Xenopus tropicalis: one gene and its partners. The protein of the gene in region 5 interacts with the protein of the main gene of each other region in a pairwise test. Links are inferred from orthologs where the notes say so. Each region holds a gene or a part of one and is shown on either strand. Other genes may lie near its edges.

Region 1 (4,108 bases), on a different chromosome or scaffold from region 5:
GTCGTCGGCGGGCCGGATTAAAAAGGCCAAGGGGCCGGATGTGGCCCGCGGGCCGTAGTTTGCCCACCCCTGGTGTAAGGGGTGGGGTTAGGGGGGTCAGTATATGGGAATTGGGGGTGTTTAAGGGGTGGGGTTAGGGGGTCAGTATATGGGAATTGGGGGGGTTTAAGGGGTGTGGTTAGGGGGTCAGTATATGGGAATTGGGGGGGTGTAAGGGGTGGGGTTAGGGGGTCAGTATATGGGAATTGGGGGGGTTTAAGGGGTGGGGTTATGGGGTCAGTATATGGGAATTGGGGGGGTGTAAGGGGCAGGGTTAGGGGGTCAGTATATGGGAATTGGGGGGGTGTAAGGGGTGGGGTTAGGGGGTCAGTATATGAGAATTGGGGGGGTTTAAGGGGTGTGGTTAGGGGGTCAGTATATGGGAATTGGGGGGGTGTAAGGGGTGGGGTTAGGGGGTCAGTATATGGGAATTGGGGGGTTTAAGGGGGGACTTTCCCCTGTCCCCATATACTGACCCCCTAACCCCAGTATATGGGGTCAGTATATGGGGACTGGGGAAAGTCCTGTCTCTCACAGTCTGTCTCTAATTTTCTCTCTCTTTTACTTTCCTTCTTAATCTATTTCTGTCTCTTTCTTTGTCTTTCTCTCTCTCTCTCTATTATTCTTTCTTTCTTTCTTTCTCTTTTCTCCCTCTCTATTGCTTCCCCCCTCATCTTCTTGCTTTTTCTTTTTCCCTCTCTCTCTATTTCTTCCGCCCCTCTCTCTCTCTCTCTCTCTCTCTCCCTATATATATATTTCTTTCTTTTTTCCCCCCTCTCTCTTTCTTTCTTTCATCTTTTTCTTTCTCTTTTTCCCCCTCTCTCTATTTATTCTCCCTTCTCTCTCTATTTATATATTTCTCCCCCCCCATCTCTTCCCATTGCTCTCCAGGAATGCCCATATTCCAGCCTGGGCACGGTGACATTCTGGCGGTGGCTCTGGATACACACGGAGTGACGTGACAGGACAGCACGTAGCCGGAGAGATGACTGTACTGAGTCAGAGCAGCAGTGACGGGCAGCCATGCAGGAAGCCGGAGTCATTTTGTTCCACCAATGAGGTCACACAGCACTGCAACCTGTCACTCACCCTCCCTGCCTCCCTCCCCATGAACAAACCCCTGCCCCTGGGTGAAACAGACAAGATACAGAGGAGGAATGCAGGAGGGCTGAGGCCTGGCCAATCAGAGAGGAGCCACCCTGAGGAATTCAGCACCATACAAATAGTGAGGCACGGAGGCTGCAGGATACACACACCCACAACTACAGGACACAGCTGCCAACAGACACCTACAGCCAAGGAGCCAGGGGGTTAATGCACCCAATCACTAAAGTTTATTCACTGGCCCTCACTGGCAGCTACTGACCCCCACAGACCCACTGCTGAGACTTTAGGGGACACACTGATACCCACAGAGGCTTCCCCACTCCTGAGTGCCAGGGATGGATGGGAATAGCAACTGCCATGATAACGGATGTATAACCAGTCTAGAGACTGAACTCATCCAGAGACTCGTTGCCCAAAGCCACGAAGCCAAGCAGCGAGCCCACTGCCCCTACAGCAAGTTCCGAGTGGGGGCCGCACTCCTGACCGCGGATGGGAAAGTCATTCTGGGCAAGTACCGCTCTCTCTCTGCCAACTCTCTCCTACTTCTGGCTTTGTACTGGCTGAGTGTCTTTTTTTAACTTCCGCTGCTATGTTACTTGCTATTAATCCTCATTTAATGTGCCAAAGGGAATTACTGGTGCAAAACTTTAGACTTTATTGAATGTGTGTCTTTTTTCAACCTCAGCTACTGTGTTAAATATCTCTTCATCCCTCTCTGGCCCTGGAAATGCTCATTCAGTATTTTGAAACTAACCCCAAACTCTCACTGCCCCATTAGCTTAGTATCTTATCCTCCAGCTCCGCAGTTTTGCCCTCCTACAGATATGTATTCCATGGATTAAAGGGTAAGTTCATCAAATCAGACTTACCTGACTGTTAATAGCATCAGTAGCTTTTTCTCCTGCAGTACCACTTGTGACCAGTAGCCAGGTAACTTTTTTATGAAGAGTCTTCCTTCTTTTAATTAGTTTGGCTTCTCTACACTTTAAAATAGCCAAATGCCCCTTGCCCCCCCCCCCCACAAATAATGCTGAAGGACGGAAGCACATATATATATATAGCATTCCCACCCTTCCAGCTGTGCCCATCGTGCCTGCGCTGTGTAGGGCACTGTGTTTGGCAGCAGCTGTGGGGCAATGTCAGGAGCAGCTGCTCGGGTGTTGGAGGCAAGAACTCACATGATTGTGTGAAGGGAAAGGGACAGACACAGTGACAGTTACACATAACTATAAACCCAGTGAGAATGAGGAATGAATGGATATTGGGGAGTTGTATCAGGAGTCAGAACCAGCAGTGCAGGGAAGGGAAAGGGACAGACACAGTGACAGTTACACATAACTATAAACCCAGTGAGAATGAGGAATGAATGGATATTGGGGAGTTGTATCAGGAGTCAGAACCAGCAGTGCAGGGAAGGGAAAGGGACAGACACAGTGACAGTTACACATAACTATAAACCCAGTGAGAATGAGGGATGAATGGATATTGGGGAGTTGTATCAGGAGTCAGAACCAGCAGTGCAGGGAAGGGAAAGGGACAGACACAGTGACAGTTACACATAACTATAAACCCAGTGAGAATGAGGGATGAATGGATATTGGGGAGTTGTATCAGGAGTCAGAACCAGCAGTGCAGGGAAGGGAAAGGGACAGACACAGTGACAGTTACACATAACTATAAACCCAGTGAGAATGAGGGATGAATGGATATTGGGGAGTTGTATCAGGAGTCAGAACCAGCAGTGCAGGGAAGGGAAAGGGACAGACACAGTGACAGTTACACATAACTATAAACCCAGTGAGAATGAGGAATGAATGGGTATTGGGGAGTTGTATCAGGAGTCAGAACCAGCAGTGCAGGGAAGGGAAAGGGACAGACACAGTGACAGTTACACATAACTATAAACCCAGTGAGAATGAGGGATGAATGGGTATTGGGGAGTTGTATCAGGAGTCAGAACCAGCAGTGCAGGGAAGGGAAAGGGACAGACACAGTGACAGTTACACATAACTATAAACCCAGTGAGAATGAGGAATGAATGGATATTGGGGAGATGTATCAGGAGTCAGAACCAGCAGTGCAGGGAAGGGAAAGGGACAGGCACAGTGACAGTTACACATAACTATAAACCCAGTGAGAATGAGGAATGAATGGATATTGGGGAGATGTATCAGGAGTCAGAACCAGCAGTGCAGGGAAGGGAAAGGGACAGACACAGTGACAGTTACACATAACTATAAACCCAGTGAGAATGAGGGATGAATGGATATTGGGGAGATGTATCAGGAGTCAGAACCAGCAGTGCAGGGAAGGGAAAGGGACAGACACAGTGACAGTTACACATAACTATAAACCCAGTGAGAATGAGGAATGAATGGATATTGGGGAGATGTATCAGGAGTCAGAACCAGCAGTGCAGGGAAGGGAAAGGGACAGACACAGTGACAGTTACACATAACTATAAACCCAGTGAGAATGAGGAATGAATTGATATTGGGGAGATGTATCAGGAGTCAGAACCAGCAGTGCAGGGAAGGGAAAGGGACAGACACAGTGACAGTTACACATAACTATAAACCCAGTGAGAATGAGGAATGAATGGGTATTGGGGAGTTGTATCAGGAGTCAGAACCAGCAGTGCAGGGAAGGGAAAGGGACAGACACAGTGACAGTTACACATAACTATAAACCCAGTGAGAATGAGGAATGAATGGGTATTGGGGAGTTGTATCAGGAGTCAGAACCAGCAGTGCAGGGAAGGGAAAGGGACAGACACAGTGACAGTTACACATAACTATAAACCCAGTGAGAATGAGGAATGAATGGATATTGGGGAGTTGTATCAGGAGTCAGAACCAGCAGTGCAGGGAAGGGAAAGGGACAGACACAGTGACAGTTACACATAACTATAAACCCAGTGAGAATGAGGAATGAATGGATATTGGGGAGATGTATCAGGAGT
Region 2 (3,500 bases), on a different chromosome or scaffold from region 5:
ATATTTCTAGGTAGAAGGAATCAACTCCAGGAGGAATTGTGCACTGAATCACTTTGTTCCACCGTGGGTTCTTAGCCCCATTATGAGCAGTAGGCGTCTCATACACTGCATATCCCAAACGTATCCGGCAGTATGGGTCCATCCGGGTCATTCCATAATTCTTAGCAAGCTTAGCCTGGGAGCAAAAGTAAAGGCAAGTCAGTGAGTCGGAACCTTTTCTAGAATAATACAAAGGGCATCCACTGATATGGGGAGAGGGAAGACTCCTGTTTTTTCCCTAAACATGAACCCTCAGGAGAAGAAATGACAATATGCTGGCATCAGAATACAATTATAAACAAGCATTTGAGGTCTGGAGCTAATGTCTTCGCTGGAGCGAGTACAATCTCTCTCTCTGGATCCTCTGACCTCTTACTGAGCTTTCTGTGGGTATACAGAAAATATTCCACTAGTGCTTGAGATTCACTTTAATTTCCCACTTGAACATCTCTGCGGTATATAATAGTGCTTCAGAAATGACAGAAGCCTATTGTGACTGATATAAAAACAAAAGAGAGGCTTGGCACATGTATGCTGTAGTGGCTGATATGAGGCATGTGTATCACCCTGGGGTCCCAGGTATTGCTTACCTGCACCACAGTAATGCTGAGTCGGCCCATGGTCCCCATAACTCCAGAATACTGTAGCTGCTGTGCTGCCTGGGCATCCAACTGTATCTGCTGCTGCTGCTGGGTAGGGGTAATGCGCAGGAAATCTTGGGGCAGTTCCCCAATAAACACCTAAAACCCAAAGAGAAAGGATAATAGTGAGCCATAAATGGCATGATGCATTTTTAACATATTATGTATTACTTCTAACAGGAAAGGACACTGAAAGCATCCAACCACCATCTCCAGTAACTGATCACTAGAGACATTGATTGCAAAGGCCTGGAAATGACTATTCACAAAAGCATCAATTTCACACACCCAGTTCTACTACAAAGAACCTGGGCCCAACGACAGTCTTTCATAGCTAAAGACAGATATACATGGGATGATGTTTCTGCCAAATGATTGGGCCGATACATATATGTTCACAAATAGGCTTAATTTACACAGGTGAAAGGACAACACTTTGCTCCTATTATCACTGCTTGCTGCTGAACCCCTTTACTCTTTCTACCAGACCCAGACTTGCAATCTGTGGGTTCTGGCAAATGCCAGAGGGGATGCTTTAAGATGCCATAGGCCAGTGATCCCCAACCAGTGGCTCGCGAGCAACATGTTGCTCACCAACCCCTTGGATGTTGCTCCCAGTGGCCTCAAAGCAGCTGCTTAATTTTGCATTTCTGGCTTAGAGGCAAGTTTTGGTTGCATAAAGACCATGTGTACTGACAAACAGAAGTATGCTGCTAGTCAACATAGGGGCTACCAAACAACCAATCACAACCCTTATTGGGTACCCCAGGGTACATTTTTCATGCTTGTGTTGCTTTCCAACTCTTTTTACATTTCAGTGTGACCTTCCATGGGTAAAAAAGGTTGGGGACCCCTGCCACAGACAGTCACTATTTATTGGGCAGGCCGAGGGCCTTTTAGGCCTCTGTGTGCTTGCCAGGGCATAGTTTAAACCCCAATCTAGACCTTTTGCCTAGAGCACACTTAGGGACCATAAAGCGCACATTAAGGTCAGGCAGTCTGTGTGTTGCCTGTAGCTGTGAAAGATCATACAGCCAGCCGTCTGTGCCTCAAGTCCACCATCACTGCCAAAAAATAGTAAAATAATCAGAAACCCAGAGTAGACATTCCACAGAGTTAGTGAGTCAAAACAGGGATTATCGAATGGCTGTCCCAGTGTCATCCCCAGGAAATTGGGGCACTGTGGACGATGTTTTTAAACTATTATATGTGTCCCTTTAAACTCTGGGAGCTCATGATTGAGCTGTTGCAACATGGCATGGGTGACAGCTAAAACACCTACGGGTGCGGCCCTGAAAGAGGAGAATAGTAATAAACGTTTGTTTATGCTAAAGAGCCTATATGCTCAATGTATCATACACATAATAAGTGTGCCGTAGCATATGCCTGCCCTTGGATCAGTGTAATGCAATATACTCACAGAAGGATGAATGGGGCTGAATGGGGCTGGTCCAGCTGTTCTACTTCATTCTGCCCTTCCTCTACTACTCACTTGCATTGCCTCTTCTACAATATACACTAAATGGTCAAGACTGCAATCTAATAATTGTATCTGTGCTTGGAAAGAACCAGGAACTTTCAGCAGTGGGGAAGGTATTGAAATGAATGATGGAAAAGGTTTAATGATTAAATAGGGGAGGGTTTAGCTTTATGGCTGAGAGATCAGTCATATTTATGACAGCTTATCGAGTCCAAGGGGTCACAGATTCTATCTTGAGCCCATTAATTAACACATAAGCATTTAGGGCAGTGCTGCATTTCCAAGCAAATACCATTCAAATAAATAAGGAGCGAGTGCCTTGTCATATAACAATGAACACAAAACCCCCAAAATTGCTCCACAATTGAAATTTTCTACATGGTTGCTAGGGCTTGATTACCATAGCAATCAGGCAGCAGTTTAAAAGTTAGAATGGAAGATCAGTAGGAAAATATCTTAAAAGAAAGATAAGCAAGTGAAGGCCAAGTGAAAAAATAGCTTGAAACAGTTCCATCTTTAACATAATTTAAAGTTAATATAAAGGTGTCTTTCTACCCAGTAGTGACTCAATTTGCAGTTTTAGCCTTGATGGAAAAGCAGCAAAACACTCTCCGACCTATCAGCCGCTCAGCTGAACAGCACCATACATCGGCCAACACTGTACATCGGCAGATTAAATTTTCAAACCTGTCTGTTTCCGACCATTATCTTTGTACCTTGGATTTAAGTTGTGATAGTCCATCCAACATACACATACCAAAAAGCATACAAATATTTTATAGGTATAGATATGGCCAGCCTATTGACTGTAATCATTTCCTGTTGTGCCTAAGTACAATGGCAAAAGAAGCGATTTGGAACCTGTGGGAAATAGCCAGTCCTGCAAAAGAGAAATTGCCAGAAAATACCTTACCATCCGGATTCATTAATATTTGCCATGTGTAAAACACTTTACATAAGAAGGCATTTTCACATGATTTGCAAGGGTCTGGAGAAATGGGGCAGCTACCCTCCTACCCAGCGCCTCTACAACCCCACCATTTGGTCATGTTCTCTAACCATACCCAACCAACAAGGGCACTGCCAAGCACCAATATCATTTTACTATATAGAAACCCTGCTCCCAAGCTAAAATATATGCGGTAATCCTCAACTGTAAAGTGTTTTTATAACAAAACAAGTGCTATCCTCCAGCTGGTAGGAGAAGCTCCTTACTTGTACCAGGCACTAAAATCAAAGGTGAACTGGTCTCAACGATTGAATTGTTCCAGTCTGAATCACTAAAGGTGCGGCTGCAACAGCTGCCCTGGATTAGCCTTGGGGGTTAGTGGGAGATATCA
Region 3 (3,420 bases), on a different chromosome or scaffold from region 5:
AGGGCAGCGCCAAGCCAGTGCCAGGGGATCCGTGTCTGTGCCCCCCAGGGCTGTGAATGGAATCTCTCCTGGGAAGGGCAAGAAGCCAGAACCCCCCATCTCTAGTTCTGATACAGACACTGCCTTGGGGGTCCCGGGCATCGACACGTCTGTTTGTCCTGCCCCACTGCAGGCTCCGCCCTCTCCTATTCAGCAGCACTCGCCCCCCCCTGAACGTGTACTTACAAAGCCCAGTGTATCGCTGCCTGTTTGTGGTCGGGGCATGGGCAGAGGGAGGGGAGACTTTTCATGGAACGGGCAAAGGGGGCACTGGTTCAGGGGTAGAGGTGACAATAATAGCAATCGGGGGAGAGGCCGGGGAGATTCCAGTCAATTCTTCTATAAATACAGCGCAGATACCGAGAAGCAGCAACAGCTCCAGGAACCTGCAACTAATGTCTCCATGGTCATACAGGTACAGTTTGGGCCTAGGGGGGACCGACCCATAAACACGTCGGTGCCATTAGTACAGTTTGGGCCTAGGGGGGACTGACCCATAAACACATCACTGCCATTAGTACAGTTTGGGCCTAGGGGGGACTGACCCATAAACACGTCGGTGCCATTAGTACAGTTTGGGCCTAGGGGGGACTGACCCATAAACACATCACTGCCATTAGTACAGTTTGGGCCTAGGGGGGACTGACCCATAAACACGTCGGTGCCATTAGTACAGTTTGGGCCTAGGGGGGACCGACCCATAAACACGTCGGTGCCATTAGTACAGTTTGGGCCTAGGGGGGACTGACCCATAAACACGTCGGTGCCATTAGTACAGTTTGGGCCTAGGGGGGACTGACCCATAAACACGTCGGTGCCATTAGTACAGTTTGAGCCTAGGGGGGACTGACCCATAAACACATCACTGCCATTAGTACAGTTTGGGCCTAGGGGGGACTGACCCATAAACACGTCACTGCCATTAGTACAGTTTGGGCCTAGGGGGACTGACCCATAAACACGTCACTGCCATTAGTACAGTTTGGGCCTAGGGGGGACTGACCCATAAACACATCACTGCCATTAGTACAGTTTGGGCCTAGGGGGGACTGACCCATAAACACGTCGGTACCATTAGTACAGTTGGGCCTAGGGGGGACTGACCCATAAACATGTCACTGCCATTAGTACAGTTTGGGCCTAGGGGGGACCGACCCATAAACACGTCGGTTGCCATTAGTACAGTTTGGGCCTAGGGGGACTGACCCATAAACACGTCGGTGCCATTAGTACAGTTTGGGCCTAGGGGGGACTGACCCATAAACATGTCACTGCCATTAGTACAGTTTGGGCCTAGGGGGGACTGACCCATAAACACGTTGGTGCCATTAGTACAGTTTGGGCCTAGGGGGGACTGACCCATAAACACGTCGGTGCCATTAGTACAGTTTGGGCCTAGGGGGGACTGACCCATAAACACGTCACTGCCATTAGTACAGTTTGGGCCTAGGGGGGACTGACCCATAAACACGTCGGTGCCATTAGTACAGTTTGGCCTAGGGGGGACCGACCCATAAACACGTCGGTGCCATTAGTACAGTTTGGGCCTAGGGGGGACTGACCCATAAACACGTCGGTGCCATTAGTACAGTTTGGGCCTAGGGGGGACTGGCCCATAAACACGTCGGTGCCATTAGTACAGTTTGGGCCTAGGGGGGACTGACCCATAAACACGTCGGTGCCATTAGTACAGTTTGGGCCTAGGGGGGACTGACCCATAAACATGTCACTGCCATTAGTACAGTTTGGGCCTAGGGGGGACTGACCCATAAAACATGTCACTGCCATTAGTACAGTTTGGGCCTAGGGGGGACTGACCCATAAACACGTCGGTGCCATTAGTACAGTTTGGGCCTAGGGGGACCGACCCATAAACACGTCGGTGCCATTAGTACAGTTTGGGCCTAGGGGGACTGACCCATAAACACGTCGGTGCCATTAGTACAGTTTGGGCCTAGGGGGACTGACCCATAAACACGTCGGTGCCATTAGTACAGTTTGGGCCTAGGGGGGACTGACCCATAAACACGTCGGTGCCATTAGTACAGTTTGGGCCTAGGGGGACTGACCCATAAACACGTCACTGCCATTAGTACAGTTTGGGCCTAGGGGGGACCGACCCATAAACACGTCGGTGCCATTAGTACAGTTTGGGCCTAGGGGGACTGACCCATAAACACGTCACTGCCATTAGTACAGTTTGGGCCTAGGGGGGACTGACCCATAAACACGTCGGTGCCATTAGTACAGTTTGGGCCTAGGGGGGACTGACCCATAAACACGTCCGGTGCCATTAGTACAGTTTGGGCCTAGGGGGGACTGACCCATAAACACGTCGGTGCCATTAGTACAGTTTGGGCCTAGGGGGGACTGACCCATAAACACGTCACTGCCATTAGTACAGTTTGGGCCTAGGGGGGACTGACCCATAAACACGTCGGTTGCCATTAGTACAGTTTGGGCCTAGGGGGGACTGACCCATAAACACGTCGGTGCCATTAGTACAGTTTGGGCCTAGGGGGACTGACCCATAAACACGTCACTGCCATTAGTACAGTTTGGGCCTAGGGGGGACTGACCCATAAACACGTCGGTGCCATTAGTACAGTTTGGGCCTAGGGGGACTGACCCATAAACACGTCGGTGCCATTAGTACAGTTTGGGCCTAGGGGGGACTGACCCATAAACACGTCGGTGCCATTAGTACAGTTTGGGCCTAGGGGGGACTGACCCATAAACACGTCGGTGCCATTAGTACAGTTTGGGCCTAGGGGGGACTGACCCATAAACACGTCGGTGCCATTAGTACAGTTTGGGCCTAGGGGGGACTGACCCATAAACACGTCGGTGCCATTAGTACAGTTTGGGCCTAGGGGGGACTGACCCATAAACACGTCACTGCCATTAGTACAGTTTGGGCCTAGGGGGGACTGACCCATAAACACGTCGGTGCCATTAGTACAGTTTGGGCCTAGGGGGGACTGACCCATAAACACGTCGGTGCCATTAGTACAGTTTGGGCCTAGGGGGGACTGACCCATAAACACGTCACTGCCATTAGTACAGTTTGGGCCTAGGGGGACTGACCCATAAACATGTCGGTGCCATTAGTACAGTTTGGGCCTAGGGGGGACTGACCCATAAACACGTCGGTGCCATTAGTACAGTTTGGGCCTGGGGGGACCGACCCATAAACACGTCACTGCCATTAGTACAGTTTGGGCCTAGGGGGGACCGACCCATAAACACGTCACTGCCATTAGTAGAGTTTGGGCCTAGGGGGGGACTGACCCATAAACACGTCGGTGCCATTAGTACAGTTTGGGCCTAGGGGGGACCGACCCATAAACACGTCGGTGCCATTAGTACAGTTTGGGCCTA
Region 4 (2,711 bases), on a different chromosome or scaffold from region 5:
GTTGTGCATGTAAATTTCTTATGTATTTTGAAGTAGTAGCGGCATTTCTATGTTTAACCTCTTCTTATCCATTGTGTAACCATAGCCCTGTTAAGTTTATTGGCAGTTTATATAATTCATACTTAACAGCTTCCAAAATACATGTATTTCCAAACTGCAGACTAATGTTGACTATATACACTAATATCTGCCAAGACACGTAGATCTCTGGCCATCAAGGAGGTAGGGAAAGGTGGCCATACATGTTAAGATCTGCTTGTTTAGAAAGGTCACCAATCTGCCTGTGTATTCCCACTTTTAGATTGTACTGATCCATCCGATTTTCAAACAGACCAACAATTGGACTACATAGAGATATGCAGACCCTTTGGGAGAGGACCATACTTAAGGCCTGATGTACTCCTCGCCCTTTAACCTGGCACATTTGCAGACTGAAAACTGTTTGAGACAGCCTGTTAATAAGCCCTCTCTGTATATCAGCAAATCTTTGCCCCATATCTAGTAACCCATTGCAAGTCAGCAAGTGCCATTTACTGTTGTTTAAAAGAAGATATAAGACTAGTTGCTGTGGGTAACTAGACCTTGTACAGTTCATAAGCTTTTCTAGATTACTACCAGTGATTTAAAGGGACAGTATACACCTAAAACACCTTTGTTAAAGAATGTTTTGCTAATAAATAGAACTTGTGTTCTTTCAGTTTTATTATTTTAATTATAAACAGGGTAATTTGCTCAGAGTTTCTTAGCTGCATTTAAACAAGCACCTCCCTTCCCTAAAATACAGCCTTTATGCATCATTGGAGGGACTTTTTTTTTATTATTGTTTTTTTGTGGTTTTTACACTTAATGAATTAAAAAAAATTTTAGTTTTTGATCAATTATTAAAACACAATTTTTAGTGCTAGTTAGTAAAGCTGGCCCATTTTGTGTTACCACCAAACCTTTATGAGGGTATAGGTATGATTAATTTTTGCTATGCTTTCAAGACTTAGGTGTCTACCCTATATATTAAATACTGAAACATTTGCATGCTGTCTAAGTGCCATCTAGTGGTAGGCCTTAACGGAGCACCAATTAATAATGTGGGAGGTATAAATGTGATTCTAGACTGATATTTCATTAATTCTTTAGTGTATTATTTGGCGTTCAGCATAAATTAAAAATATGATTTAAGAAATCCTGAAGCAAAACAAAACTCACATACCCCTTTATCAAAGCATACCATTTGCATTTGTTTGCTTTAGATATCAGAAAACTGTATTTTTTTCTTTTGTTCCAAACAGTTCTTATTTTTTTCCCCCAAACTCAATCATAGGGTGACGTCTATTGCTGACCGGCTAAATGTGGAATTTGCCCTCATCCACAAAGAAAGAAAGAAAGCTAATGAGGTGGACAGAATGGTGCTTGTTGGAGATGTAAAGGATCGTGTTGCTATCCTAGTAGATGATATGGCTGATACATGTGGCACCATATGTCATGCTGCTGATAAGTAAGTCCTGTTAAGAAACACCTTTTCAGTGTTAAATAAAAATAAAATTGTATTTAAAGAAGAACTAAAGCTTAAAAAAGAAGTAAGCTAGAAATACAACACATTTTTATGTTTGTTAGCCCGAGGAGGCTAAGTGAAGATCTGTGCCAGTGAAGATGTCCCCAGTAGCCCCCTGATTTTTTATTTTCTTTGATTCATAGCACATGCTCTGTGCTTCTGTCAGTAACCTGAGCTTAGGGAACTACTTACAATATACAGTATATATACAGAAATACAAGATTTAATGCATAAAAGCATATACAAACATGAATTTTTATTTTTTATGTAATTTTAATGTCAGTATGTTGATAGAGAATATCCTTCCAGAAGTCATTGTTCATGTTATGTCTGTTTTATTTCATCTTCTGCAGATTACTTTCTGCTGGAGCAACAAAGGTCTATGCAATTTTAACACATGGAATTTTCTCTGGTCCCGCAATCTCTCGAATTAATAACGCAGCATTTGAGGCTGTAGTGGTAACCAATACAATTCCACAAGAAGATAAAATGAAACAGTGCTCCAAGATTCAGGTATTATGCCCATATAGTTGTTGCACCAATATTCATATATGTGCCCTAAAGTTGAAAGATTTTGGCCTGAAAAATGCGAAAGCTGATATTTTTTTCGGTCCAATCTCCACTCTGTATAGGTGCATTCACACCGATGCTGTGCTTGTCAATGGAGCTACAGGAAGTTGCTGATTACATTAGATCAGCTTCTCTTTACCTGCAGGCGTAGAGAAGCATTTGACATGTGTGCCTTTGCTGTGGGCTTGCTGTGAAAGGAGAAGGAAGAAAGTAGTTTTACTTTCATTTCTTTCATTATTATTTTCCTTTCTATGTTTTAAAGCCCTCTCTTCTGCCTCTTTCCTTGAGAATGGTTGATTGAAAAATGTAAAGTCCATGCTTCTAATTGCTCTTCTAAAAGCTAATCTCAAACAGGGGTAGTTTTTATCCTGGTGTATTTAAAGGTATCTACATTATGTGAATTAATGTGCACTTATTCAGTGTTTAGACTGCTAATTGCAGGCATTCAAGTCAACAGCTGTCCTTGACCCTACTTGTCTGTACTTTCTATGTACGCCATGTATTCAGTTAGCTGGCTCTCCATTGAGCCCAAAGGCCTGGTATAAGCAGTCTAAAAATGCAAATCAAATATCTCTGTAGCTGCTAAAAATGGAGC
Region 5 (4,102 bases):
GCTGCAGAGTGCCATTGAGCCCTATGGGAGACTTTCCTTGGGCCGGGTTGGAGCTGCAGAGTGCCATTGAGCCCTATGGGAGGCTTTCCTTGGGCCGGGTTGGAGCTGCAGAGTGCCATTGAGCCCTATGGGAGGCTTTCCTTGGGCCGGGTTGGAGCTGCAGAGTGCCATTGAGCCCTATGGGAGGCTTTCCTTGGGCCGGGTTGGAGCTGCAGAGTGCCATTGAGCCCTATGGGAGACTTTCCTTGGGCCGGGTTGGAGCTGCAGAGTGCCATTGAGCCCTATGGGAGACTTTCCTTGGGCCGGGTTGGAGCTGCAGAGTGCCATTGAGCCTTATGGGAGACTTTCCTTGGGCCGGGTTGGAGCTGCAGAGTGCCATTGAGCCCTATGGGAGACTTTCCTTGGGCCGGGTTGGAGCTGCAGAGTGCCATTGAGCCCTATGGGAGACTTTCCTTGGGCCGGGTTGGAGCTGCAGAGTGCCATTGAGCCCTATGGGAGACTTTCCTTGGGCCGGGTTGGAGCTGCAGAGTGCCATTGAGCCCTATGGGAGACTTTCCTTGGGCCGGGTTGGAGCTGCAGAGTGCCATTGAGCCCTATGGGAGACTTTCCTTGGGCCAGGTTGGAGCTGCAGAGTGCCATTGAGCCCTATGGGAGACTTTCCTTGGGCCGGGTTGGAGCTGCAGAGTGCCATTGAGCCCTATGGGAGGCTTTCCTTGGGCAGGGTTGGAGCTGCAGAGTGCCATTGAGCCCTATGGGAGACTTTCCTTGGGCCGGGTTGGAGCTGCAGAGTGCCATTGAGCCCTATGGGAGACTTTCCTTGGGCCGGGTTGGAGCTGCAGAGTGCCATTGAGCCCTATGGGAGACTTTCCTTGGGCCGGTTGGAGCTGCAGAGTGCCATTGAGCCCTATGGGAGGCTTTCCTTGAGCCAAGTTGGAGCTGCAGAGTGCCATTGAGCCCTATGGGAGACTTTCCTTGGGCCGGGTTGGAGCTGCAGAGTGCCATTGAGCCCTATGGGAGACTTTCCTTGGGCCGGGTTGGAGCTGCAGAGTGCCATTGAGCCCTATGGGAGACTTTCCTTGGGCCAGGTTGGAGCTGCAGAGTGCCATTGAGCCCTATGGGAGACTTTCCTTGGGCCGGGTTGGAGCTGCAGAGTGCCATTGAGCCCTATGCGATGCTTCCAAAATCATGCACTGAAGGATCAAAGTCAGAAAGGTTTTCCCACCGTTTACGATCGTTTGAATACGAAAATTTCATGACTATCACAAACGATCGTTTCAAAACAAAAATTTCGGATTGTAAGTACGAAATTTTCGTATTCAAACGAAAGGAGATTTTGTGACTTTCGCAATGATCAGAAATTATTGGATTTCGTGAGTCATACTTTAATGAATCTGGCCCTAAGTGTTAATATTTCCAAGATCTCATTTTATCTTATTTTATTTAGGTTTCCATATGGCGACAGACACAGGTGTTTCTCTCTCAGTTTGTGGCAACTCCGAGCCCTGCAGTCGGCCTATAGCTACGGTTGCAGCAGCACATTATATTTTAGTTACTTTTATACACTTTCATTTTTTGGTGTTACTGTTCCTTTAAGCTATCCCCTACAGGTTTAGTCCGGTTGACCACTCCCCTTGGCAGACTATATAGTGTCTTGCACAAGGGAGTGTCTTCCTCTTTGGCTGCCCCTGTCTCAGGCATCAGTCCATTGAGCCTGGGTGCAGACGGCCCCAGTAAAAGCCACTTATATCATCTGAAGTCGGGGACAGGGCCCCGTGAATGAGGAGAAGACAGTATAGCAGCATATTTCATAGCACCCTCTAGGAGTGGTGAGTTCAGACAGAACTATATAGAACGAGCAGCCATTTGCTCCATCCAGGATAATAGCAAAGGAGTAGTCTTCCTAACAGGCATTACTGGCCTTAGATTAGGGACACAGAAGTGCTAGGGGAATAGGTTAGCAAATATGCCTTGCCCTAACCTCCACCAGAGCATGGGACTATGCCGGTGAGCTTTCCTACCTATCACGCTGTTGTTGTTCTACCTGCCCAAACCTCTTGATGAGAAGGGATACACAGGGGAGCATCATATTTCTGCTATTTATCAATTTTACATCAACTGTATAACTGCATACTGTTCTGCATCTATTGAGTATTGAATACCCTGAATACCGTTGTCTTGGACAAATAAAGTATTATCCAGTTCATTCATAAGAATCCTCTGGCGTCCATTTCTATCTATTGCACCACACTACCTCAGCTAGTTGTAGTTCAACAACACCCTCAGCTCCATTAATACCTCCCACTTAGCTCTACAGCACGCTACTAGCCTGGGTTGGCCATATTATAGCCAAACAAGTGTTACAGAGGTATTGTACAGCGCTGCGGGATATGTTGGCGCTTTATAAATAAATGTTAATAATAATAATAGGGGGGATTATGGAATTGCCTTTAGACAGGAGTAGGAGGGCTGCAGGCAGAAAATCTCATAGCTGCTGGTTTTGAGGGGACCCATAAACCTATAGGGCCAGTTGTGCCCTTCCCCCCAAGCTTACCAGTAGCAGCCGGTATAGTGACAGTCACTGCGCCCCGGCAATAGGGACGGGACCTGGGCTGCCTGCTCCATAGCTCTCCCCCTGCACCACAGCCGCCTTCCATTCAGCTGTCACAATAACAAGGAAGCCACCGGGTGCTACAGCCTAAACATTCCCCCGGAAACTGCTACCCACTATATTCTCCCTCCTAAGCTGGCTTTAAGCCGTCACCGGTCCCGACTGTCTAATCACAAGTCAAACACTTTTTCCACACACAACGAATCCTTATTATTCAACGTCACTATAAATATTGCAGTTGTCGCCGCTGTAAAGTCCCTGCGTTCGCCGAAAACATCGGCCGAAGGGTAAAACACGTGTTCACGTTTCAGCCAATCAAAACTCGCCCTTTAGTTCCCGCGCTAAAAACAAACTGCGGACGCGCCAAAACAAACGTGTCCCTCCGCGGTATACGTGTAACCGAATGTAGTAGTTCCTCGAGCGACTTGCTCGCACCGCGGCCGATACACGTGTACGTACGGTTTACACGGGCAGAGAGTATTAGCTGCGCTGACGGAAGGCGCTTGGTGTTGGAAATAGGAAAACCATAGTTTAGACAGTCGGCGGAGGGATATGATCTGGGAGAGCGTCAGGCTGTGGAAGTTTTGTGGCGCCAGAATTTGGAATCGCTGTCCCGTCCGACTGATCCGTTTGTGAGGGTTGTAATCAGCGGCGGGAGCGGTCATGGTGCTGCTTCGGAGCTCTACGGGGACGGCTAACGGCGCTGGGCCTTCTTACCGGGAGCAAGACTCTCTGCTCGATGCCAGCTCCGAGTTTCTGAGTCTGGAGCCCCAGAACGAGTCCCCGGAGTTGGGCAAACGGAGGTCTCAGAGGAACACCGGCACCAATGGGGCGGCCCGGTCTGGCCAAGTAAGTCATGGGTATATTATTGGCTATATTCAGCGTGTTCCGAGGGGGCTGAGGTGTACCCCGTATTCTGGAGCATTGTCCTTGGCCCCCCAGTAACATACGGGCAAGTTAACGAACGTAGATAAATAGATAGGGGTTGCCCACCTCTAAGTGACCCTTTAGTATGACGTAGAGAGAAATATTCTCATTATTTTATTATTTGTAGTTTTATAATTTCATTTTTTTGTTAGCTTGGAGTTCCAGCACCTATTTGGTTGCTTGGATCCAAATTGCCTTAGCAACCAGGGAGTGGTTTGAATGAAAGACTGATACATGAATAGGGGAGGGCCCATAATTGAAAAATTAAGTAATAAGTATTTAGAAAGTAACAATAACACTGTAGCTTCACAGAGCAATAGTTCTTTGGGTCAGTGACCCTTATTTGAAAGCTCAAAAAGTTAGAAGGCAGCAAATCAAAAAATATAAACAATGAAGACTAACTGAAAAGTTGCTTAAAATGTGCCTTTCTGTAACCTACTAAAAGTTAATATAAAGGTGAACTTCCCCTTTAAACTACAACTCCCAGAATTCCCCTGACAGAGGAATGGCCTCCATACATAGGACCTAAGCCTTCCTGCACAGCTGGCTTCCTGGGTCTCTAAAGAT
Region 6 (4,261 bases), on a different chromosome or scaffold from region 5:
TTTGCAACCATTATGGATCTATGCAGCTTAGTTACCATCAAGTAAAAGGTAATATTTTATTATTACAGAAAAAATAATTTTAAAGTATTGGAATTATTTGCTTAAAATGGGCAGTAGGAGAGACGGCCTTCCTGTAATTTGGAACTTTCTGGATATCAGGTTTACAAATTAGAGATCCTGTATATATATATATATATATATATATATATATATATATATATATATAAAACACAAAATAGCCGGTACCGCACTCACAGGTCTTATAGAAAGATATTTATTCAAAAAATCGTGTCTAATGTTTCGGCTGCCATTGCAGCCTTTCTTTTTTGAGAAAGGCTGCAATGGCAGCCGAAACGTTAGACACGATTTTTTGAATAAATATCTTTATATAAGACCTGTGAGTGCGGTACCGGCTATTTTGTGTTTTACTATTTCGTATTGGACTGCACCCAGGCATCCTTGACTCTGTATTGTGAGTGCCTGTTACCAAATTTTGTGATTTTATATATATATATATATATATATATATATTTTGTTTGCATCAAAAACTCTCCACATTATTTTACAAACAACTGAAACATTTATTAATCATTTGCCTTGTTCTACCATGCCACTAACAGTATACCTGAATTCAACTATTCCAAGGACAAAACAATGCTGTTAAGGGAGCCAGTGTCCTTTGCATGTTCCACTTACTGTTCAGAGGAAAATGCAGCTGCTCCTAGAATCCTTTTTTAAAACAGCTGATCTTCATACTAGCATGCAATTTTGTTAAACCTGAAAATTTGACACAAGAAGTGAATATAAAAATACCAATATTGACGAATTTGCAAGAAAATGTGTGATGTGTATGTAAACTATAGGCAACTGTCCTGGGCCTGGACTTGAGAAACACAGAGGAGAACCGCACACTGAATGGTGCATGGTCAAAAAGTACTGGTACTAAAAAGCAAAATTCCCACACTCAAGATGTTTGAATCTTCTACTGAATTGTAAGTTAAATGCCCTGTGGGTTTGTGAATCCCCTACTAGCCTGATTTCCCTTCTTTTTGCATATTCCTGGCACCTGTAACCTAGATACCTGGGTAGAATAGTTTTTCCCTATTGGTTCACGGATGTTATAATTGTTTCCTGTAATGTTTAATATAGTAAGCGGGATCACATGGCTCTTGCCTTTTGGCCTCCACCTGCTGGAATGTCTGCTGGGCTGTCTTGGACAATAAGGCCCTAGTAAAGAAGAGGGACCACATAGGCACATGGGGAAGTATGAAATGTGTTTGTTTCTGTGCACCCCTGCGGTGAAACGCAGAAACAAACGCTAGTAATTACAAGCCCTAAAGGGCATCTCATAGTTGAAATGCAGGAGCTAGTTCACACTTGAGAACTGGTATCCATTATCCTTATTTGTTTGCAGCATGAGAGGTATTGTTTAACAACACTATTTCCTTCCTCTACACAGTAATGCAAGGACCCAACTGTGAGAGAGGGTTATGGCTTTTTAATTTTAATATTACTATTTTGACAAAACAAGGACCATTTTGTACCACCTAAAAAATACACAGCAATGAGAACTGCAACTCATATATTACAACTTCCCGTGTTTTAAGGAAAATCCCAGAAACTCAAGACACCTAGGATTTATTGAACAATTTATGAACACATTTGTTTAAACAACAGATTTACTGTATGCTGCACTCACAAAACAACAGTTGTGCAGATCATGCTTCCAATCAAAAGCTGATGTGATTGACTGTTTAGAACTAAGCAATTGTTCTGATCTACAAACCAGAATAATTAAGTTTGTCGTTTTCTCCCATTAAAAAAATACCAATCTCACATTCACACTATAGAAAGTGGTCCTCCACTGCATGAGCTTGATCACATCAGAATGTCAGCATGAAAGTTAAGGCATGCAATTACATACAATTTTGATGAATGTGAACTCTTTCCATACAAATGAAATCTGACAAGTCACAGGGTAATCATATGCTCATCACTCCTAAAGGATGAATGAGGATGCGACTGACTGACTCCTGAGGTCGGACCTAAATTGCCACACATAGAATCTGTCAAATCCCCAGAAACAAATCTTACTGTGGGACTACAGCCAGGGTTGCTCACTTACTAAAACAACAAGCCCACAAAATGGTACCGCACTACATATATACACACAAACAGTGACTGATAACAAGGTATACATGTGTGTGTATGTAATAATATACAAAATTTAAGCTGCTTTTACTTAGCATTTGTAAACACACAAACATGTATACTGAACTACATTTCTGTTGATCAATATTACAGCTTTTTAAGAAACATTTAAAAAAGCATTTTTATACAACAAACTATAGGAGTTGGAATGATCAGCAGGCATCACAAGTGGATAACACCATGTGCAGACTAGGGATAATGAGTAAAATATTTCGGTTGTATTAGAGCCACCTACCTCTTCTTCTGGAAGGCTGATCTCATCCTGAGAGCCCTCCTTTTCAGCTATGTTGCTGTTCATTGTGGTCTCCTGGGCAGAGGCTTCTGTGAATGTCAGTTTCTACAGTGCAGACTTTTCGCTTTCCTTATACTGGGAAGTGCTGGAGAAAGACTGGAACTTAGTTTCAAGCAGTCAGGTTACTGGTTAGTTTAATGAAAAGCATATCATTTAGATCCAAATATTATAATAAAGCTCTTGTTCTTTCAGAGTTTTGTCTTAAAAGTAAGATGAGGAAGTCTGTGGTTTGTACGAGTGATAAGGAAAGCAAGCGAGGGGGTGAGAGAGGAAAGGGGGATTGCGAGTGACTGTTGGTGATTAGGGTTAGGAGCAGCCTTTGCTTTCTGAAGGGGAAGGGCTTAAAGCAACTTCAGAGCCGGGACTACAAAACTCCCAGTTTGTGGGTGGGGAGCTGCTCTGTTTAGAGAGCAGGGAGGGCTGGTGAGAGAAAAAATCAGTATCGGGTCCAATTTCTTAGTTAAAAAATCAGCCGTGCTTGAAAGCGTCTTCAGAAATTGACGATTTCCAGACAAGGTCAAAGGGTGAAATGCCGAGAGATAGAAAATAGGCAGCGGCAGCAGGGTGAGAGAAAGAGAGAGTGGAGGGGGCGGAAAGAGTGATAAGCACTGTGTTTGGTGCTAGTGGTGAGTAGGATCTATTACAGTGCAAGTATACCTGAATGTTCTGGGTGCCGCCTTACCCTCCTTATATTATTTCAATTTGTAGCGATAGATCTTAACACTTTCCTGTAAGGTTAATTTAGGCAGAGGTTTACACCAAGGTGCGAAGTACACAATGTAGGAACCAGCAAAGATAATGCGCTCTTATGCATTTATTCTTGTTGTTGTTAGGATTCCACAAAAGAGGGAGCTTAGAGCCATGGCAATGAGACCTGGAGATTTGAGCTAAATCTGCTTTATCACAGTTTACTAATCTCTTAAAAATGCTTTCCCACCAGCAGTAATGTAAATCGTAGGTGACTAAACTCCACATGTGCCTCAGCCTTAGGGGTGACTGCACACATAGGAATTAGTCACCCTTGATATATCTGCTCTACCACAGGTGTCTAATCTTCTGGATATTCTTTGTGAGAAAATTACGTTCAACTTTAGAAGAACAAAGCAAAGCGTATGTTTTCCCAGTGGTGATTTACATTATTGCTGGTGGGAAAGCATTTTTTGGAGACTAATTTCCACATGTGCCATCACCATAAGGGCAATAGCCCACAGGAGGATTAGTTGGCCACGGTTAAATCTTGGCTACCGCGGCCAACTAATCTCCCTAAAATTTTGGGAACTAATCCCAGAAATGTGAATTCCCTGCAGGAGGAAACAGCACAACTTCACAAAACAAAGCAATGCATATGTCTTCCCATCGGCAATTTACTTTATTGCTGGTGGCAATCTAACAATAGGTGACTAATCTCCCTATGGGCCTTAGGATACTGGGAGACAAGGAGATTTATCACCTGCGGCAAATCTAGGCTACCTCAGGAAGCAGATCTCCTAGAAATACTTGTACCTTCATTAACATTCTGAGCGCGGGAAAATATCTTTTGAAATTTTCTGCAATTAAGCCAGATCATTGGATGTAATGTATTTTACATGCAGCAATCTGAATGTGAGCAAAGGGGTATTTTCTGGAGATTTGCCTTCACTTTAAGGCCCAGGTGAGGAGCACATATTTCCCTCAGACTCGCTTATATTCAAATCGCAGCATGTAAAATATTCTATTTTCAGATTTGGTGTCTGTGGGTAACAAAGGTTTCCTGCTGGC
Region 7 (4,134 bases), on a different chromosome or scaffold from region 5:
GTGTGATGTTGCCCCTCCTGAACCCCAAAATCGACTCCCTTCCCCAGTAGAAGCAGACAGTCAAGAGAACTATCAGCTCAAATTGGGCAGATCAGTATAGGTAAGTGTACATTCTGCACTTATAGTTTATGTTTCTGAACAGATTTATACAGAGACCATCCCAGTAACGTACCATGAACTTTGTTTCACCATAACAACATTTTCTGCATGAAGCCAAACACATGACTGTCACTATACAGGATATTCTGCAAGTAAGCTTCCCTCTAACAACTGCTGCAATTCCTAAGCCATTCCCTCTCTATATGTGTAATGTCTATTCCAATTTGTTCCGAACATCTTTAATGAATCTGTCTTTATAATCTGGCAATGTACCCACCAAGCAGCCCTTGCCTTCAGGGATTGTTCTTTAGAAAGTTCTGTTTAAGGTAATGTGACATGCAAGACTGAGCTCACTTCCCAGCAGTCCCACCCTGAATGTATTCCTTCCATCTTAGCCCTAAAGGGAGAATGCTCAAGCACCTGAGGCTTCAGAGAATACAAAATAAAGCATTTCCCAGCAAGGTACCTAAAGGGGGTATGTAGTAGAACCACGCCCTTTAATATCCTGTCTATAGGCAATCCATGCATTTGTGTTATATCTATATAGGGTTTAGCCCATGTATCACTTAGCACTTTATTTACAAAACTCCCTGGGCTTGGAATTCGACCAGATCCCACTCTAATTTTAGATAAAGAAATAAAAATAAAGTTTCAAGGATGTAATGTGTTCCTATTGGGTATACTGTAGGAAAATGCACACCCTCTGTATAAGGACAATGAAACACCTAAGGAAAAAAACATGACCTTAAAAGGTATTTCCATCCTTCCCTTTGGCCATAGTGGCACCACGCTCGCCTGCTATTGTTAACTACGCTTCCCAGCAACCTCCGCTACCCCAGTAATCCGTATCTCACTGTCCCACCGCATAAGAACTTGAGAGTTAGAAATCCCCGGACTACGATGTTTCCCTGTATTTTACAATACATTTTAGAGAAATGTTTCAAGTAATAGTAACATATATGTGCAAGGGTAGCGGCTTTCCTGCTCTAACACGGCCAGGCCTTACACGCCTCCCTATTGCTCATAAGCGCATGTAACTTCAGGGGTTCCGGGTGGACGTAGGGCCAGGACTCCGGTCCCGCCTCTTCTCCCAACCAAGCAACCAATGGCGAGGCGTGTTTCTGAAAGATGCCCATATTTGGCGATCTTCTGTCTGTGCGGCAGCAGGCGGGGCTGGAAGCCTGTGACGTTAAATAGAGATAACGGCCGCTACTGGGTTCTCATTCAGCCGGTGGCAGCGGACTTGACAGCTACTTCCCGCTCTTTGTAACAACTTGCCAGCTTTGCATTTCTCCTCTTAAGGAAACCTCCAGCACCAAGGTAAGACCTTAGACAATGTCTTACGGCTGTGTGTGGGTGGTGGGCGGAAGAAGTCTTATGGGGTACCGTTGGCCGGGATAGCGTGTGGTAGTGTTCTGTCTATATATTGTTACATGACCGTATTGTCTGTGGCTTGGATATTTGTAAGTCTCCAGTAATGCACGCTTAACTTGTTCTCCTAAAAAGCTGCTGTTGATCTTAATGTGTTACAATGCCCTGCGATATTCTATTTTAAAATAGGCATATTCTATATACATATCTGGCCCTTGTCATACTTCTGGTTACCCTGGGTGCCGAATGATGTTAATATGGCTATGTACAGAACTATATGGCTCTGGTGTCAGTCGCCGTTCGGAGGTGGCTTCCCTCCCTTATGGCTAGAAGTTTGCGCGGGTTTCCCTGCGATAGCATGACGGGCTGCACCATTCTAAAGGGTAGGGGTGAAGCTATTTCTCGCCTCCCCCCCCCAGTTACTTGTATGAGTCACCCCACCTCTGTTGGCCACGCCCACGAGTTTGAAGCTTGTAGCTTTTTGTTTCAGCGGCAGGGCGTGGCTGCTGCATTCTGCTTCCATATTAGGGCAAGAGCTCTGTGATTGGCTGAGCGAGCAGTCAGGGCAGATTTAAACATCACACCAGTTCTAGGGGTGGGGCTGCTGTTCATTAGCCGGTACCGGCTCCTGCGTTGTATAAAGTAAGGGCGGGGGTTAACACTAGGGCGAGTCAGAGAAATCTATTCTATTATGTTTATTTATAACTATATTAAATTAAAGATTCTGCAGTATGGGCAGCTGTTCTTAAATACAAATAACTTGGGTGATTGTGTGCTTTACATCCTGTCATTTTTGTAAATGTTCTATATTGCTTGGATAGCTACACTGTATTGTTAGCCTGACAGCTGAAGTCTTGTAGCCTTTTTGTGTTTTTTTTTTTTTTTTTTTTGTGGTGTGCCCTTTCCCTATTGAGGGGAATAACAGGGCGTGACTGGCTGTACCACTTGCCTCAAGTCTTTAGCCTATGAAAAGGGCTGCCTTAGCCTTTCATTAAACGATTATCTAATCATAGAAGTGTTGATTGTGTTACTATTAATGCTGTTAATCAGCTGTGGGATATTCCCTGTTACCTTGTACAGCTTTCAGTGTACAAACTTTCCACATAATTCATGATTAATCTTTTTACTTAAGAAACAAGTGTTTAACGCTTGTCGCTCATGGTAGGGTGGGGCTGAAGTGGATTAAACGGTTACTATGCCTTACTGTTGGTACACTTGCCTACAAATGGCTTAGCTGTGTACGGAGTGAGGTTGTGGCTACTGACTGAGATAAATAGCCAGTCCCTTATTTTGCTTATGATGATCTGTTTGTTTACCACACAGAAATAAAATGGATGAGGAAATTGCAGCACTCGTCGTTGACAATGGCTCTGGAATGTGCAAAGCCGGCTTTGCTGGAGATGATGCTCCCCGTGCTGTGTTCCCCTCTATTGTTGGACGCCCAAGACACCAGGTATATATAAGTGATGCTTTAATCCTTCATCCAGCAAATGCAGCTTAAATTTTTTTTCTTGGGCTGACTTACTGTTCTTTTTGTTTTAGGGTGTAATGGTTGGTATGGGCCAGAAGGACAGCTATGTAGGTGATGAAGCCCAAAGCAAGAGGGGTATCCTTACCCTTAAGTATCCAATTGAACACGGAATTGTTACAAACTGGGATGATATGGAGAAGATTTGGCATCACACCTTCTACAATGAGCTTCGTGTAGCCCCTGAAGAGCACCCAGTCCTGCTTACAGAAGCTCCCCTGAACCCCAAAGCCAACAGAGAAAAGATGACACAGGTTTGTTTTCAGTGGAAGGCCCAAATACACTTATTTTGGGGTAGTTCTTGTACACTTCATTCTTATTTCTCAAACTCCAATTTTCTTTCAATATTTTCAGGGCTCTGTACCTCTCCTGGCATTTCCCTCCTGAAGTCTCAGGTTTCTGTTTCATTGGTTTATTTCTGCTTGTTCTGTTTTTCTACACATCTATCTCTTTGTTTTGCATGATGGCATGCTGGCATGGTTTGGGGTTCTAACTCGTCTTGATTTTTAGAATTAACATTGTTCTCATGTATCCCTTAGATCATGTTTGAGACTTTCAACACCCCAGCTATGTATGTCGCCATTCAAGCTGTGCTGTCTCTGTATGCCTCTGGTCGTACCACTGGTATCGTGATGGACTCTGGAGATGGTGTCACCCACACAGTACCCATTTATGAAGGTTATGCCTTGCCCCATGCTATCCTGCGTCTGGACTTGGCTGGTCGTGACCTGACAGACTACCTCATGAAAATCCTGACCGAAAGAGGCTACAGCTTCACCACCACAGCTGAGAGAGAAATTGTGCGTGACATCAAGGAGAAACTCTGCTATGTTGCTCTTGACTTTGAACAAGAGATGGCAACTGCTGCATCCTCCTCATCCTTGGAAAAGAGCTACGAACTGCCTGATGGACAAGTAATTACAATTGGAAATGAGAGGTTTAGATGCCCAGAGGCACTCTTCCAGCCTTCCTTCCTGGGTGGGTATCTGTTAAGACGTTGCATTTCATCTGACTAATAACTCTTCCTCCTGAACATCTGGTCTAGGTAGTAGGTCCTGTTTCCACAGTACACTGTATAGTTGCTAAAGGTGACTAAAGTGACTAAAGTGAACCAAGTATAAGTAAGAATGGAACTT

Evidence for each region.
Region 1: the proteins of wdyhv1 (region 5) and cda interact in binary tests that used the Homo sapiens proteins (3 or more experiments, as listed by UniProt). The two-hybrid records come from large-scale screens. The link is inferred for Xenopus tropicalis from reciprocal best matches to the Homo sapiens genes NTAQ1 and CDA.
Region 2: the proteins of wdyhv1 (region 5) and tollip interact in binary tests that used the Homo sapiens proteins (3 or more experiments, as listed by UniProt). The two-hybrid records come from large-scale screens. The link is inferred for Xenopus tropicalis from reciprocal best matches to the Homo sapiens genes NTAQ1 and TOLLIP.
Region 3: the proteins of wdyhv1 (region 5) and coil interact in binary tests that used the Homo sapiens proteins (3 or more experiments, as listed by UniProt). The link is inferred for Xenopus tropicalis from reciprocal best matches to the Homo sapiens genes NTAQ1 and COIL.
Region 4: the proteins of wdyhv1 (region 5) and prps2 interact in binary tests that used the Homo sapiens proteins (3 or more experiments, as listed by UniProt). The two-hybrid records come from large-scale screens. The link is inferred for Xenopus tropicalis from reciprocal best matches to the Homo sapiens genes NTAQ1 and PRPS2.
Region 6: the proteins of wdyhv1 (region 5) and rbpms interact in binary tests that used the Homo sapiens proteins (3 or more experiments, as listed by UniProt). The two-hybrid records come from large-scale screens. The link is inferred for Xenopus tropicalis from reciprocal best matches to the Homo sapiens genes NTAQ1 and RBPMS.
Region 7: the proteins of wdyhv1 (region 5) and actg1 interact in binary tests that used the Homo sapiens proteins (3 or more experiments, as listed by UniProt). The two-hybrid records come from large-scale screens. The link is inferred for Xenopus tropicalis from reciprocal best matches to the Homo sapiens genes NTAQ1 and ACTG1.

What each region holds. Positions count from the first base shown.
Region 1 is NC_030683.2:129,542,495-129,546,602, reverse strand, and holds the start of cda (cytidine deaminase), read left to right. Parts: upstream 1-1,308; 5' UTR 1,309-1,481; coding exon 1,482-1,653; intron 1,654-4,108. UniProt on the Homo sapiens protein: This enzyme scavenges exogenous and endogenous cytidine and 2'-deoxycytidine for UMP synthesis.
Region 2 is NC_030680.2:21,544,252-21,547,751, forward strand, and holds part of tollip (toll-interacting protein), read right to left. Parts: intron 780-3,500; coding exon 630-779; intron 176-629; coding exon 1-175. UniProt on the Homo sapiens protein: Component of the signaling pathway of IL-1 and Toll-like receptors. Inhibits cell activation by microbial products. Recruits IRAK1 to the IL-1 receptor complex. Inhibits IRAK1 phosphorylation and kinase activity.
Region 3 is NC_030686.2:52,253,180-52,256,599, forward strand, and holds part of coil (coilin), read left to right. Parts: coding exon 1-454; intron 455-3,420. UniProt on the Homo sapiens protein: Component of nuclear coiled bodies, also known as Cajal bodies or CBs, which are involved in the modification and assembly of nucleoplasmic snRNPs.
Region 4 is NC_030678.2:106,105,344-106,108,054, reverse strand, and holds part of prps2 (ribose-phosphate pyrophosphokinase 2), read left to right. Parts: intron 1-1,315; coding exon 1,316-1,489; intron 1,490-1,899; coding exon 1,900-2,059; intron 2,060-2,711. UniProt on the Homo sapiens protein: Catalyzes the synthesis of phosphoribosylpyrophosphate (PRPP) that is essential for nucleotide synthesis.
Region 5 is NC_030682.2:139,824,729-139,828,830, reverse strand, and holds the start of wdyhv1 (protein N-terminal glutamine amidohydrolase), read right to left. Parts: upstream 2,801-4,102; 5' UTR 2,623-2,800; coding exon 2,552-2,622; intron 1-2,551. Other genes in the region: atad2 (ATPase family AAA domain-containing protein 2), read left to right, coding at 3,272-3,457. UniProt on the Homo sapiens protein: Mediates the side-chain deamidation of N-terminal glutamine residues to glutamate, an important step in N-end rule pathway of protein degradation.
Region 6 is NC_030677.2:83,961,183-83,965,443, forward strand, and holds the start of rbpms (RNA-binding protein with multiple splicing), read right to left. Parts: upstream 2,801-4,261; 5' UTR 2,510-2,800; coding exon 2,447-2,509; intron 1-2,446.
Region 7 is NC_030686.2:28,628,393-28,632,526, reverse strand, and holds the start of actg1 (actin, cytoplasmic 2), read left to right. Parts: upstream 1-1,334; 5' UTR 1,335-1,419; intron 1,420-2,793; 5' UTR 2,794-2,800; coding exon 2,801-2,923; intron 2,924-3,012; coding exon 3,013-3,252; intron 3,253-3,537; coding exon 3,538-3,976; intron 3,977-4,134. UniProt on the Homo sapiens protein: Actins are highly conserved proteins that are involved in various types of cell motility and are ubiquitously expressed in all eukaryotic cells.